Linked DNA regions of Cricetulus griseus. The protein of the gene in region 2 purifies or fractionates together with the protein of the main gene of each other region. This does not show direct contact. Links are inferred from orthologs where the notes say so. Each region holds a gene or a part of one and is shown on either strand. Other genes may lie near its edges. The genes, in order: Kat2b, Mbip and Zzz3.

What was found.
Region 1: the proteins of Mbip (region 2) and Kat2b purify together in Homo sapiens (affinity purification with mass spectrometry; 4 studies listed by BioGRID and IntAct, counting the BioPlex papers as one, with this or other methods). This does not show direct contact. The link is inferred for Cricetulus griseus from reciprocal best matches to the Homo sapiens genes MBIP and KAT2B.
Region 3: the proteins of Mbip (region 2) and Zzz3 purify together in Homo sapiens (affinity purification with mass spectrometry; 4 studies listed by BioGRID and IntAct, counting the BioPlex papers as one, with this or other methods). This does not show direct contact. The link is inferred for Cricetulus griseus from reciprocal best matches to the Homo sapiens genes MBIP and ZZZ3.

What each region holds. Positions count from the first base shown.
Region 1 is NW_023276806.1:249,614,330-249,617,981, reverse strand, and holds part of Kat2b (histone acetyltransferase KAT2B), read left to right. Parts: coding exon 1-35; intron 36-238; coding exon 239-302; intron 303-389; coding exon 390-474; intron 475-2,689; coding exon 2,690-2,883; 3' UTR 2,884-3,652. UniProt on the Homo sapiens protein: Functions as a histone acetyltransferase (HAT) to promote transcriptional activation. Has significant histone acetyltransferase activity with core histones (H3 and H4), and also with nucleosome core particles.
Region 2 is NC_048598.1:146,092,636-146,096,287, forward strand, and holds part of Mbip (MAP3K12-binding inhibitory protein 1), read left to right. Parts: intron 1-1,914; coding exon 1,915-1,980; intron 1,981-2,214; coding exon 2,215-2,367; intron 2,368-2,692; coding exon of another isoform or gene 2,693-2,718; exon of another isoform or gene 2,719-3,652. UniProt on the Homo sapiens protein: Inhibits the MAP3K12 activity to induce the activation of the JNK/SAPK pathway. Component of the ATAC complex, a complex with histone acetyltransferase activity on histones H3 and H4.
Region 3 is NW_023276806.1:6,917,225-6,921,352, reverse strand, and holds the start of Zzz3 (ZZ-type zinc finger-containing protein 3), read left to right. Parts: upstream 1-1,266; 5' UTR 1,267-1,381; coding exon of another isoform or gene 1,382-1,404; intron 1,405-4,128.

The DNA.
Region 1 (3,652 bases), on a different chromosome or scaffold from region 2:
GAGACAGGCTGGAAACCAAGTGGAAAAGAGAAAAGGTAAGCAAGCCGGGCTAGAGGATGTTAATGGAAGTGATTTTCCCCCTTCCAGCACTTTCTAGGAAAAGGGCCAAGTGATGTAATTGGTACATAGCATTGGTGGGCTTCAGTTCCTAGGCTGGGACCTGAGAGGCTGAGCTGAGTGGTGATCAGGCCTGGAGCATGAGCACTAACCCTTCCTCTTTGTTTTCTCTTCTTTCAAGTAAAGAGCCCAAAGACCCTGAGCAGCTTTACAGCATCCTTAAGAACATCCTGCAGCAGGTGAAGGTGGGTACCTGTCCTGCACCTCATTTGAAATGGTTTTCCACATGGCATTTCCATATTAGATACCTTATTTTGTTTCTTTTATTCAAGAGCCATCAAAGTGCTTGGCCTTTCATGGAACCCGTGAAGAGAACAGAAGCTCCAGGATATTATGAAGTTATAAGGTTCCCCATGGGTAATGCTATTACAATTTTCTCAGTATAGATATAAAACTGGGTGGTGATGTGGGAGACAAATATTGGCTTTGGCAGCCTGGGAGACCAGCTGCAAGACTGCACAGGGCTCGAAGGGAAAATCCACAGCGTTGGCTCCAACTAAGACCTTTTCATCTGACGGGGGTTAGGGGAAAAAACAAACACTTATTCTCTTAACGATTCCTTTCTTTATTCTCTTATGTTGTTCTCCTTTGTTCCCTCTCCCCAATGGCTTAAATACAGGCATCACGAAGGGGTCATATTCTGTTTCTTAAGCGATTAAAAGCAGAGTTATTAGACAACTTATGTGCAACATATTACAGAGCAAAGAAAGAACATTTTTTTAGTCAACTCTTTTATTGGCAGGCTGCAAATTTCAGTAGTAAAGTAAAAAAATCAGTCACTTTATTATTTATCTTGAGAGGTAGTCTTCTTATAAGGAATTTTATCTTATAAGGAATTTTATAAATCTAAACTACTGAAGAGTCTAAGAAGGTAAGAAAACAGCCCTATACCTTTTGAGTGTCATTAGAACTGATGGCCATTTTGTCCTTTGCCCTGGGTTTTTCCAGGCAGGGGAAAGGCAATTTTAAACTAACCCATGACTATATAAACATTTTGGACTAACATTCTGTAATCAGCAGTCGTAAATTCTGGGTTTTATCAGATTTCTCAGAGTGCCATATTTTAGAAAAAAAGACTCTCCAGGTGTCGTGAATTCTCTAGTTCAGGCTCAGGTCAACATTCATGAGTTACCCTAAATCTTTTAAGCATCAGCTCAGCTGGAACTTCCCAAGACATTGTGAGACCAATAGTACTTTAAATCTGAAAATATACTTTCTGTCCTACGTGTAACTCTAGACCATAAAAACAAAACAAAACAAACAAACAAAAAACAACTTGTAACTCTTTCTTGGGGCTATAAAGTCAAATTATTTTCTGTAGCCCTGACCAGGTAGAATATCTTTCCCTGTAGTGTTTCTGAACAAAAGCTGTTTCTGTTTCTAGACCTCAGCTTTTTGCTCCCTGTCATCTGTGCAATTCCAAGACCCAATATTTTTCTACATAAAAACAGTTGGCTGAGCTTTAAGTCTTCAGGGAACATACCTGTATCAGAAAACTGAGGTCAGGGTTTGTGCAGAGAATTAACTATTGTCTTTGGTTATCAGCCAGACCTAGCAAGGAAAGTGTGTGCAACAATCGGTTTGTTCTGCACTTTCAACCCAGCCCAATAAATCAGACAGTTCAGTTATATGTCCTTGTAAACTTTAGGATGTACTCATGAGATAAACACACTACAATACAGGCAGAGGGAGACTCCTCACAGCTACCAGGGAAAGATTGTAGTAGCATATGTGAAGGTACAACAGAAGCAAAAGCAAAAGATACCTCGGAGTCTGTATCCTGGTGACCTTGCTTAATGAGGTTTTCCCATCAGAGTTCCACCTGGGGTATGTGTGTGTGCAGATTATTTTGGGCTGGAGCAATGGCTCAGCACTTAAGATCACTGAATGATCTTCCAAGATCTGGGTTTGGTTCCTAGCACCCATATGGCCACTTATAGCCCTTTGTAATTCCAGTTTTAGGGGATTCTATGCCCTTAACTGACCTTAAAGAGCACCAGGCATGCACATAGCACACAGACATACTCGGAAACAATCTATACAATTAAAACAATAATAAATGATTATTTGGTAAAGTTGAAAGTCAAAAGTTAGTTTGACTTCATTGATAGAGCCTGGAGCAAAATTCATTTGTTTTACTTTTAGTATTTTATGTGCAGGTTACTGATGCATTTGCAAATAAGATACTAGCCTCTTTCTTTGTGGCTTTAGTAAAAACTAGCTCAACCTATAAATTTAGCAATCAAAGATTCTGTGCCAGTGTTCTGCCTGCCTCAATCAGCATCCCTGTAACCTCTACTGTTCCTTAGCCTCCTGGTGCACAGTAAGAGACGGGAGCAGACAAGTACTTAGGTCCTTTTAATGTTAGTGTGGGTACGTGTTATATATAAAATCCTTTTCAGAAGAATAGACTTAGAATTATTTTGCTTAATGCGATGGAATTTCTTGTAAGCATGGCATTGGGGTGAGAAAGATGTAAGCACATCAGTAGCATACATTTCTTCCCACCTTACATTGTCAGCTGTTGTGTAGGAGGAGTCAACAGTTGCTAATGTTGTTGTTTCCTGTGCAGATCTGAAAACCATGAGCGAACGTCTCAGGAACAGGTACTATGTGTCTAAGAAATTATTCATGGCGGACTTGCAGAGAGTGTTCACCAACTGCAAAGAGTACAACCCTCCTGAGAGCGAGTACTATAAATGTGCCAGCATCCTGGAGAAGTTCTTCTTCAGTAAAATTAAGGAAGCAGGGTTGATTGACAAGTGATTTCTTTTCCTTAGACACTCATCAGCAGTGTGCCTAAAGCAGGTGGTTTAGGTTTTGGGTTTTTGTTTGTTTTTAAGAATTGTACATCATGTGTTGAAGAGACTTGTAATAATTAGCACTTTTGAAAAACAAACAAAACCTCCTTTTAGCTTTTTAGAGACGTATTTAAATGGAAATCATAGAAAACTTTATTTTGTGGAGTAGATTTTAATTTATTTACTACTATCGTGTAAATTTTCTCTGGCATGTCCAGTAGCTGACTAATGCATGGTAGATGATCAGGGGCTTCCTCAAAACCTGTTTGTGAGGAAATTGCACACAGTACCAGGATTTATGGGAATCTAGAGAAAATTTTGACCATGAATGTCTCCATTTTTTTTTTAATGGAACATGAGAGATTATTTTATTCTGAAGGACTTTAAGAAAAGGGTCCACAATACGCCTGTCAAGGTGAACTATGTGATGTTTGAAGTCTCACTGTAGACCTTTTACGAATATATATTTTTTAAAACACTCATCTAGATGAGGTGCTTTGAGCAGTTCTGAAAAATGCAACTTTCACAGCAGCAGCAGCAGCTGTGACTCCTGAGGAGGGGACTTTTATAAGTGTCTTCCCCTCACAGGCTTGAGAGTGCACAACCACTATTTAATAATTCTTGGCAGATATGTGTCCATGTCATATTTGCCTTTGCTTGTGCAGGTTCTAAGTTCTAAAAGATCCTCTCCCAGGCCACAAAGGTGTCAACTTGAAAACATTGGAGGTTTTGTT
Region 2 (3,652 bases):
AGGTTGATAGGACAGTGTGTACAGAACACCATATACTGTGTAGCACTGCCATAGATCTTACTCAGTTATCCTTATAATGACCAATACAAATAGTTCTTAGAAAAAACATATGGAGAAAGGTTCATAATTGCACTTAACCTTTTTCTTACTGCCTTTAATATATCTTTTGGCTGGTGATTCTGAGCATGGAATTGTCAGTTGAACCTGGAAGTGACTCACAATCACATTGATACAGGATACTCTTAACATAATAACGTAAGCTCACTTTGGGTTCTAAATCTCACTTTTTCCACTGTTAACTTCTGTGGATCTCTAGAGTTAGCCTTTCAGAACAGGTATGGCAGTGGCAAAATCTCAGGTGCACCAATCAGTTGTGTGCACCTCAAGAGAAAGGGTTTGTTGAGGGAGCAAGTGCATGTGTCACTAATGTTATTCCTCTGTTCTTCCTGCTAACTCTATTATTATAAACCATCAGGGGATAGAAATTGGCAAGAATTGAAATGCTCAGCAGGATTCCTTAGCCCATTCAATCCCTTGCTGGCTCAAAACAGTGCTGGCAAGAATTGCTGTGGAGAACGACTAGCCTCATGCACTCACTGTCCCGCACCACGCTGCATTTCTCACTGATGGCTCTCTGCATTTGGAATATAGCCCTGGAATGGAACATAGCCTTTTTTTTCTTTTTTTTTTTTTAATACCCTAAGACCAGTGAAAGGATAGAAAGAATAGAGAAGTGTAGGCCTCTTATATATATTTTGAGGTGTTTCCAAGGAAAAGAAAATGAGTCTGTTTAGTCTTTAAATATAAAAGATTAAGAGGGTTTGTAATTTTATTTACAGTTTGACTTATCACAGATGTGTTAAACTTAAGCTTAAAAAATACATTATAATGTGTTACTGTATTTTTAAAGACTTTTCAGTTGGTCTAAGAAAAAGAATTAGTTTTTAAAAATCGGATTTCATATCAGATTTCATGAAATAACAAAAGACTTTAACTCATTTTACACCCATTTTTTTTTTTACCAAATAATTATGGAAATTTAACAGAAAATTTACTGCCAATGTATAGCTTTACTATTACTTCAAGCATTAGCATATGTTTCTAGGTTAATGCATTATATAATATATATTATTCATATATTACAATTGTGCTAATATTTAATTGTATGAGTATGTTAACATATTCCTGTTTTCTTTCCTTATAACTTATTTGTCCATACATAATTGAAAAGAAATTGTAGTTTTCACCTTGGTAAAAATATTGGGAAAATTTTCACAATGTATCTTTTCTAAAATTACAGTTTATAAAAAGTAGGATTGAGAGCGATGCCCTTTTGTTTGGCCTTTTTAAAATAAACATTGGAAATCTAGGAACAGAGGGAAAGTGTGCTGTGCTTGAGATTTCAGTGTGTGTTGTACTTGAGGCTTCAGGATCTTTTTAAGTCTATAAAGTTCTGAGACCTAAAAAAAAAAAAAAAAAAACTGTAAAATATACAATCAGTCCCTCTGTTATATGTTCACTAATTTGGTAATAACAAAAATGCTGAAATTTTTAAAAGATAATTTGGTAAATTGTCTTCTGTTTATATAATGGAGTTAGAATATGGGGCTCTAGAATATATGAATTATTTTCTCCAATAATTTTGAGTAATAACTCATTTTATTAAAAATTATCAGAAGTTTTGTCACTTAATGGTTTCTCTATATGTATATCTGAACGTTACATAAAAATATTACTTGTGATTCAATTCAGAGGATAAAGACCACCCAAATTATTCTGTATGTGATAGTAATGTAATTATTAGTCCTTTAAAATTCTCCCATGAGTAAAATATGAATTATTAGGAGTTTATCATAATCTCATAATTTTTAGTTAAGAATATATTTGAACTAAATTCATCCAAATTCTCCCTAGAAAATAGTTGTGCAAGGACTGATGCCGTCTTTACTCCTTATCCTGGATTTAAAAGTCACGTAAAGGGTAAGTAGCTGCTGTATAGTATATGTCACTGGCAAAAGTTTGTTGTAGCTTCATAACAACGTGGAATAGAAATACTTTTCCCATCTAAACTTTATTCTAAACCGAAGGCATTGCCTTTCTTCCTTTTTGAGCTTCTGGTTAGGTGACCATTATGGAAAAGATATACTGTAAGGGAGAGAGAATTTCTGCTTTTGGAGCATAAATTCACATAGGCTTAAAAGTTTCTTAACTTAGTTTCTAGAGTTGTGAATACATATGGACCACAGACTAGACCCGAAGGAATTCCAGGGTCAGGTCACAAACCTACCGGCATGCTTCGAGACTGTGGCAACCAGGCTGTGGAAGAACGACTCCAGAATATTGAGGCCCACTTGCGATTGCAGACGGGTAAGTAGAGAGTTAGGTGATGTTCTGTAATGTGCTTTTGCAAGTCTTAAGGAAATTAGATTCATTTAGCTTCCGGAGTTTCCCCAAACATTCACTGTAAAGCCCTCGTTCTAGGTGCATAAAACAGTTGCTACTGTCGAGGAATCTGTAAAGTTCTCAGTGTTCATGCTTTCTCTTCTTATACTTCTTGACACTTTCTAAATTGGGAAACAGATCTAGATAGATTTTGTTAGCCTCGGTTTATTGAAGTTCCAACAAAAAATGAATGTAATGTGTTGCTATGGCCAATTTCAGAACTTGTATGACTACCTCTAATTGTTATTAGCCCTTCTGCCAGCTACAAAAATGTAGATAAATGTGGTCCTGGTCTTCAGTGCATTCCTGACAATAAACACATAAATGAGTAAGTATCCTGGGGGAAATGAGCCCATATTTTTTGAACAATACTGTCTCTGAAAGTGCCGTGCCTATATCAACTTAGTGATTAACAGAACTCTGTGGAGGTGTGTGCTATTACTATTGGAAAGGTAGTAAGACTGAAGTCCAAAGAGCTCAGGCAGCCTCCCAGGATATTATAGTAAGTGACAGCTAGGAAGCAAATAGTCTTACCCATTTAGTTACCATGCTCTTAATTCTCCTAAATGTCCCTGCATGTTTCTTCTTCTGCCTCCACAGCTACTGCTGTAGATGAAACTACTGTAATCTCTGTCTTGGAGTGATAGGTCTGTTGGTCAACTAGGTCATTTTCACCCTGTGACCAAATTGCTGTTTTTCAAGCTCATATCTGATGTTGTTTGTACCCAGCTAAAAATTCTTTACTAGTTCTCTGGAGCTCTCAAACGCATAGCAAACTCAGTACTTAGCAGAGAGACTGTGGTCTAGACCAGGCAGGTCTCAGGGATGATACTTGAAACAGTAGAAAGATTCTAAATATAATAATGAACTTGATGTCTAAGTATCTTTAAAACACCACGCCCTCCTCTAAAAGAACTGTCATTGAGAATTATGGGAAAACTCCTTTAAACATTTTTCTAGGTCAAAGGAGAAAATATACCATGCTAGGAGAAATAGGATTTGAAGAGAATGATAGGATAAGCACAGCCATCAAGTGGAACTGTCATCTTGTGACTTCAGTATTTTTCCTTCTAAGTAACTACAACATCTATTAGAAACACTTTCTATACGGAAACTATTCAGTATCCCATAAAATGAATTTTGTAAAACAACTTGTAGCAATATGGGATGCATAAGCAATATTTAGAAAGCAGAAGTCTATAATTTGTCT
Region 3 (4,128 bases), on a different chromosome or scaffold from region 2:
TAGGGAGACCCTGTCTCAACAAAACAAAAACCAGCAAAATACTATAGCATTTACAGTGACAAAAAAAATCTTACGTGCATTAAAATAAGTATAGCAGGCATTGAATCATTGTAATACTTACTTAGATTCTGTTGGCTATACCTAAGTAGGCAGCACATCACCTTTAACAGTAATCTGTTCATTTTTTACTAGATAGAATGCTGGGTTAAAGAGTTGATGATTACACCAGCCCTTAATTTATAATACCCCACTTAAATAGTATCCATTTAAAAATACCTAGTTTAATGCTTAGAAAAAAGGAGCAAGGTTAATGATAAGCGTCTGCTTGTCTTTCTTGTAGTGCTGTTATTGCAGATGGCCACTCCTAATAACCCAGGTAGCTAGAGTATATAGTTTCCAAAAAAGATGCCATACCATGCTGGTAAAACTGCAGTTAGCTATAAACATGCCAAGAATTAGCATGTAATTAAGTTAATTAAAATACCAGACTGAGTATTTAGCTCCGAAAACATTATTGATTCTTTGTGGATTTCACATCACACATATGAATCCCATTCATCTCACTATTGCTTTTTTCTCGTTGAGAGTCTATATGGCTGGGCGTGGTAGTGCACACCTTTAATCCCCTCGCTTGGAAGGTCACTGAGTTTAAAGTCAGCTTGATTATACAGTTAGTTCTAGGACAGCCAGGGCTGCGTAGGGAGACCTTGTCTCAAAAACAAAAAACCACGAAGGGGGTGGGTGGAGAGGAGAGAGACAGAGAGGGAGGGAGGAGGAGGAAAAAAAAATACATGTGGCAGAAAGCACCAGAAGCTTCAAGGGCAGCTGAGTCTTCAGTGTGTCATGTGTGCTGTGATACAGAGGAGTTAAGCTGTGTGCTTAGTCTGCTGGTTGTTGTTAGGCCCTAGGTTTTGTACTCAGTTTTAAATCTAGGAAATCCTTCAGAAATCCTCTAGGTCATCTTTAAGCCAGGGAGGGGCTGGGGGACTTAGATTACAGCAAGTTGCAAGAAAGGGCTGAGTCATGTTTTACTCAAGTTAATAACTGAGTTGTTTGTAAGGATTTGTTATATTTCAAGTTTCTTCATTTCTGTCCTGGTTGCTTAGTGCCCCTGAGACCACTTAGCAGGAAGCACCAAAACATCCCTGTGAAGACACTGTGTGCTTCTGTAATCAGAGTAAATTACTAGCTGAGTTAATTTCCTTATTTAATATTTTTTTTTGTTGTTGTTTTTGTTTTTTTGTTTTTACCATTTTAAAGAGAGGCGGTTAAGAGTTTCTATAGTCTCCGAGGCTGAAGCTGAGAGCCTGAAGCTTAAGCTCTGTTGTAGATCATAGCTTCATCTCCTTGCGGATATAAGAAAAGAAAGACTATTTCCACAATGATAGATCTCTGGTTACACAGGTAAGTTACTCAACTGTGCAGCAGAGATGACAACGGTAGTTTGATTTTGTTTACTTGGGTGGGAGGAGACATGTTATTTTCCGTCTTTCTTCTTCTGCCTTGCTGTTTTATGGTGATCTCAAGCTGTAGGAGATGGGCTGAAGATTAAATACGTTTCCATTTCTTTCTTCTCAACAAATGGATGAAGGAAATGACTGTTGGTATCTTTAGACCATTAAACCTGTCTTTGCCTTAAACGTGTTTAAGGGGCATGTGACCCCTCTTTCACTTCTTCTCAGTTGTCTTCAGTGTGCATTCATTTGAATCTGTCCTGTCTGTCTTTCTATATAGCTCTCTGTCTGTTTGTCAGTCATCTCTTGTATCTCTCTTGATGACAAAGGAGATCCTTTACATATAACTGCATGATAGAATTCTAGACTTCTGATCTGGGACTGTTAACCTTTCAATAATCCAGTGGATAAGGTCAGGCGTTGTTCTGTTACACTAGATTGATAATTGTACAGTTGAAATAATCTGTCTTTTAAAAGAGTTGTATGACTAGCTGTGTGACAATGCGCACCTGTAATCCCACCATCAGGGATGCGGGAGAGAGTTTTAGGGCCAGGCCATCCAGGGCTGCATAGTAAGACCCTGTCTCAAAAGACATCTCAGAGACTTGTATGATAAACTAAGCCTGAGCACAGCTTATGCTATAGACAGGTAGGAAAGTCATATTGGTGACACCTCTCAGTTACTCTGACATGGTTTTGCCTTTGATTTTGGTCTTTACACCTGAAAATATATGGGTATTGTGACCAGTTTTCTTGAAGCTGTTCACTTAGTAAAACTGATACGATGATAATAATACTGGTGTTAGTCAGGCGTTGGTGGTGCACACCTTTAATCCTAGCACTTGGGAGGCAGAGGCAGGAGGATCTCTGTGAGTTCAACATCAGCCTGGTCTACAGAGCACATTCCAGGACAGGCTTCAAAGCTACACAGAGAAACCCTGTCTCCCCCTCCCCCCCAACAACAAAAAACGGTGTTAGCTGAGCATGGTGGCGCATGCCTTTAATCCCAGCACTCCAGAGGCAGAGGCAGGATCTCTGTGAGCAGGAGGCCAGCCTGGTCTACATAGTGAGTTCCAGGGCTACATATCAAGACTCTGTCTCAAAAATACAAAACAAAAACCCCAAAATATAAAAATAATATAATACTGATATTAGTTACCAACTCCTCAATTCCTAAAGTAAACTGGGACACTTTTGGTGAGTAGAAAAGGAGCCAGAGATTACAGGTACTGGATTAGAGATAGCCTTTGAGTAAAAATGCAGCGGCATCGTGCATTGTTTCTAGTGGGTGGGCCTTTGTCTGTCCTGTTTCTTTTGGTTCTGATTGAGTTGTGTGGGTGTGGTCACGGGTTAGAGGTTTATGATAATGTTTCAGGACTTTACAGGTTTATAAAGGTAGATTCCAGTTTAGGGGAAGGTGGTTCAGTGGAAGGGCTGATAAGAGTTTGGATGTATGGATTGAGGGCAGCTTGGGAACTCTGTGGACAAGCTGAAGAAGTTTGGTTGGTTGGCCCTTTTCATTCTGTAAGAAGACTTAGGAGGATGGAGAATGCAGGACAAAGTGTGCTTAATTCTAGTGAGGTTCATACTCTCACTGTCCCCCAGAAACACTGCTGCTCAGTAATTGGTGGGTAGCATAGGACAGCATCAGTCTCATTACTAAAATGTGAACTCAGGGTTTCCCTTAATTCTAAGTGTCTTTTACCAAATGGGTGTGGCTAAGGCTGTCACCAGTTGTCTCTTATTTTAGTTTATCAGTAAAGGTATCCTGGGCTAGTTGGCAAATAAATGGGTTCCATTCTATTGCCGTAACTACTTCATGTTTGGCAAGCATACAATTATATGCCCAAACCTCACTGGATTTTTTAGTGACTTTGTATTTAGTTAAAATGAAGAAAATAACAGCTTTAGTTTGTACTTCTTTGCTAAATAAATAAGCTTGGTACAACAATATTGAAATTTGGTTGGAATAATGTAGACATACTTCATTAAAAGTCCCTTATTGATGAATGGCTTTATATTCAGTTTATCTTATATAATTGTTAAACATACGTATACTTCATGTATGCTTATGCAAAAATAGGAAAAAGGAAGAAAATACGTAACAAAGATTTGTTGTACTTGGCCTTCATACTTTGATTAGGTTTTTACTTTACGTGTATTAAGATAATTTTATAAACTGCTGTTTGGTGCTTCTTTAGCCGAAGTGATCATGATCTGATTTATAATGTGTTGTTTTAATCATTATGATTTAATAAAATATTAAGGAGAATTATGTATCTAATTTGGTTTGCAACTTGGTGATTGAATTATTAGGCCACTGCCTTGAGTGCAGAGATACCAGCGTTTCCCAGACGCCAGCATGGATGAATGGGTTGCATAGGGCCTTATACTCTGCAGTTCTTTCTTCCTTCTTGTCTTTTTCCCCTTCCGTTCTAAGTGTCAAAACACAGACCTGGGTTTCTAGCAAGCTCAGGATGTGGGCTCTCAGGCCATGCAAGTTACAACAGATTGAAATACCAGGAAACACTTGCTGTAAAATGTGCTCCTTGTTAGTCTTCCAGCATGTCTACAGTTTTAGTCCTTTCCCAATGATCACAGCCCAGTAGTTGGATAGTACTAAAACCTTTTTAGGGAATGAAGGACACTAATCAGTGTTTTAGTTTTATAACCA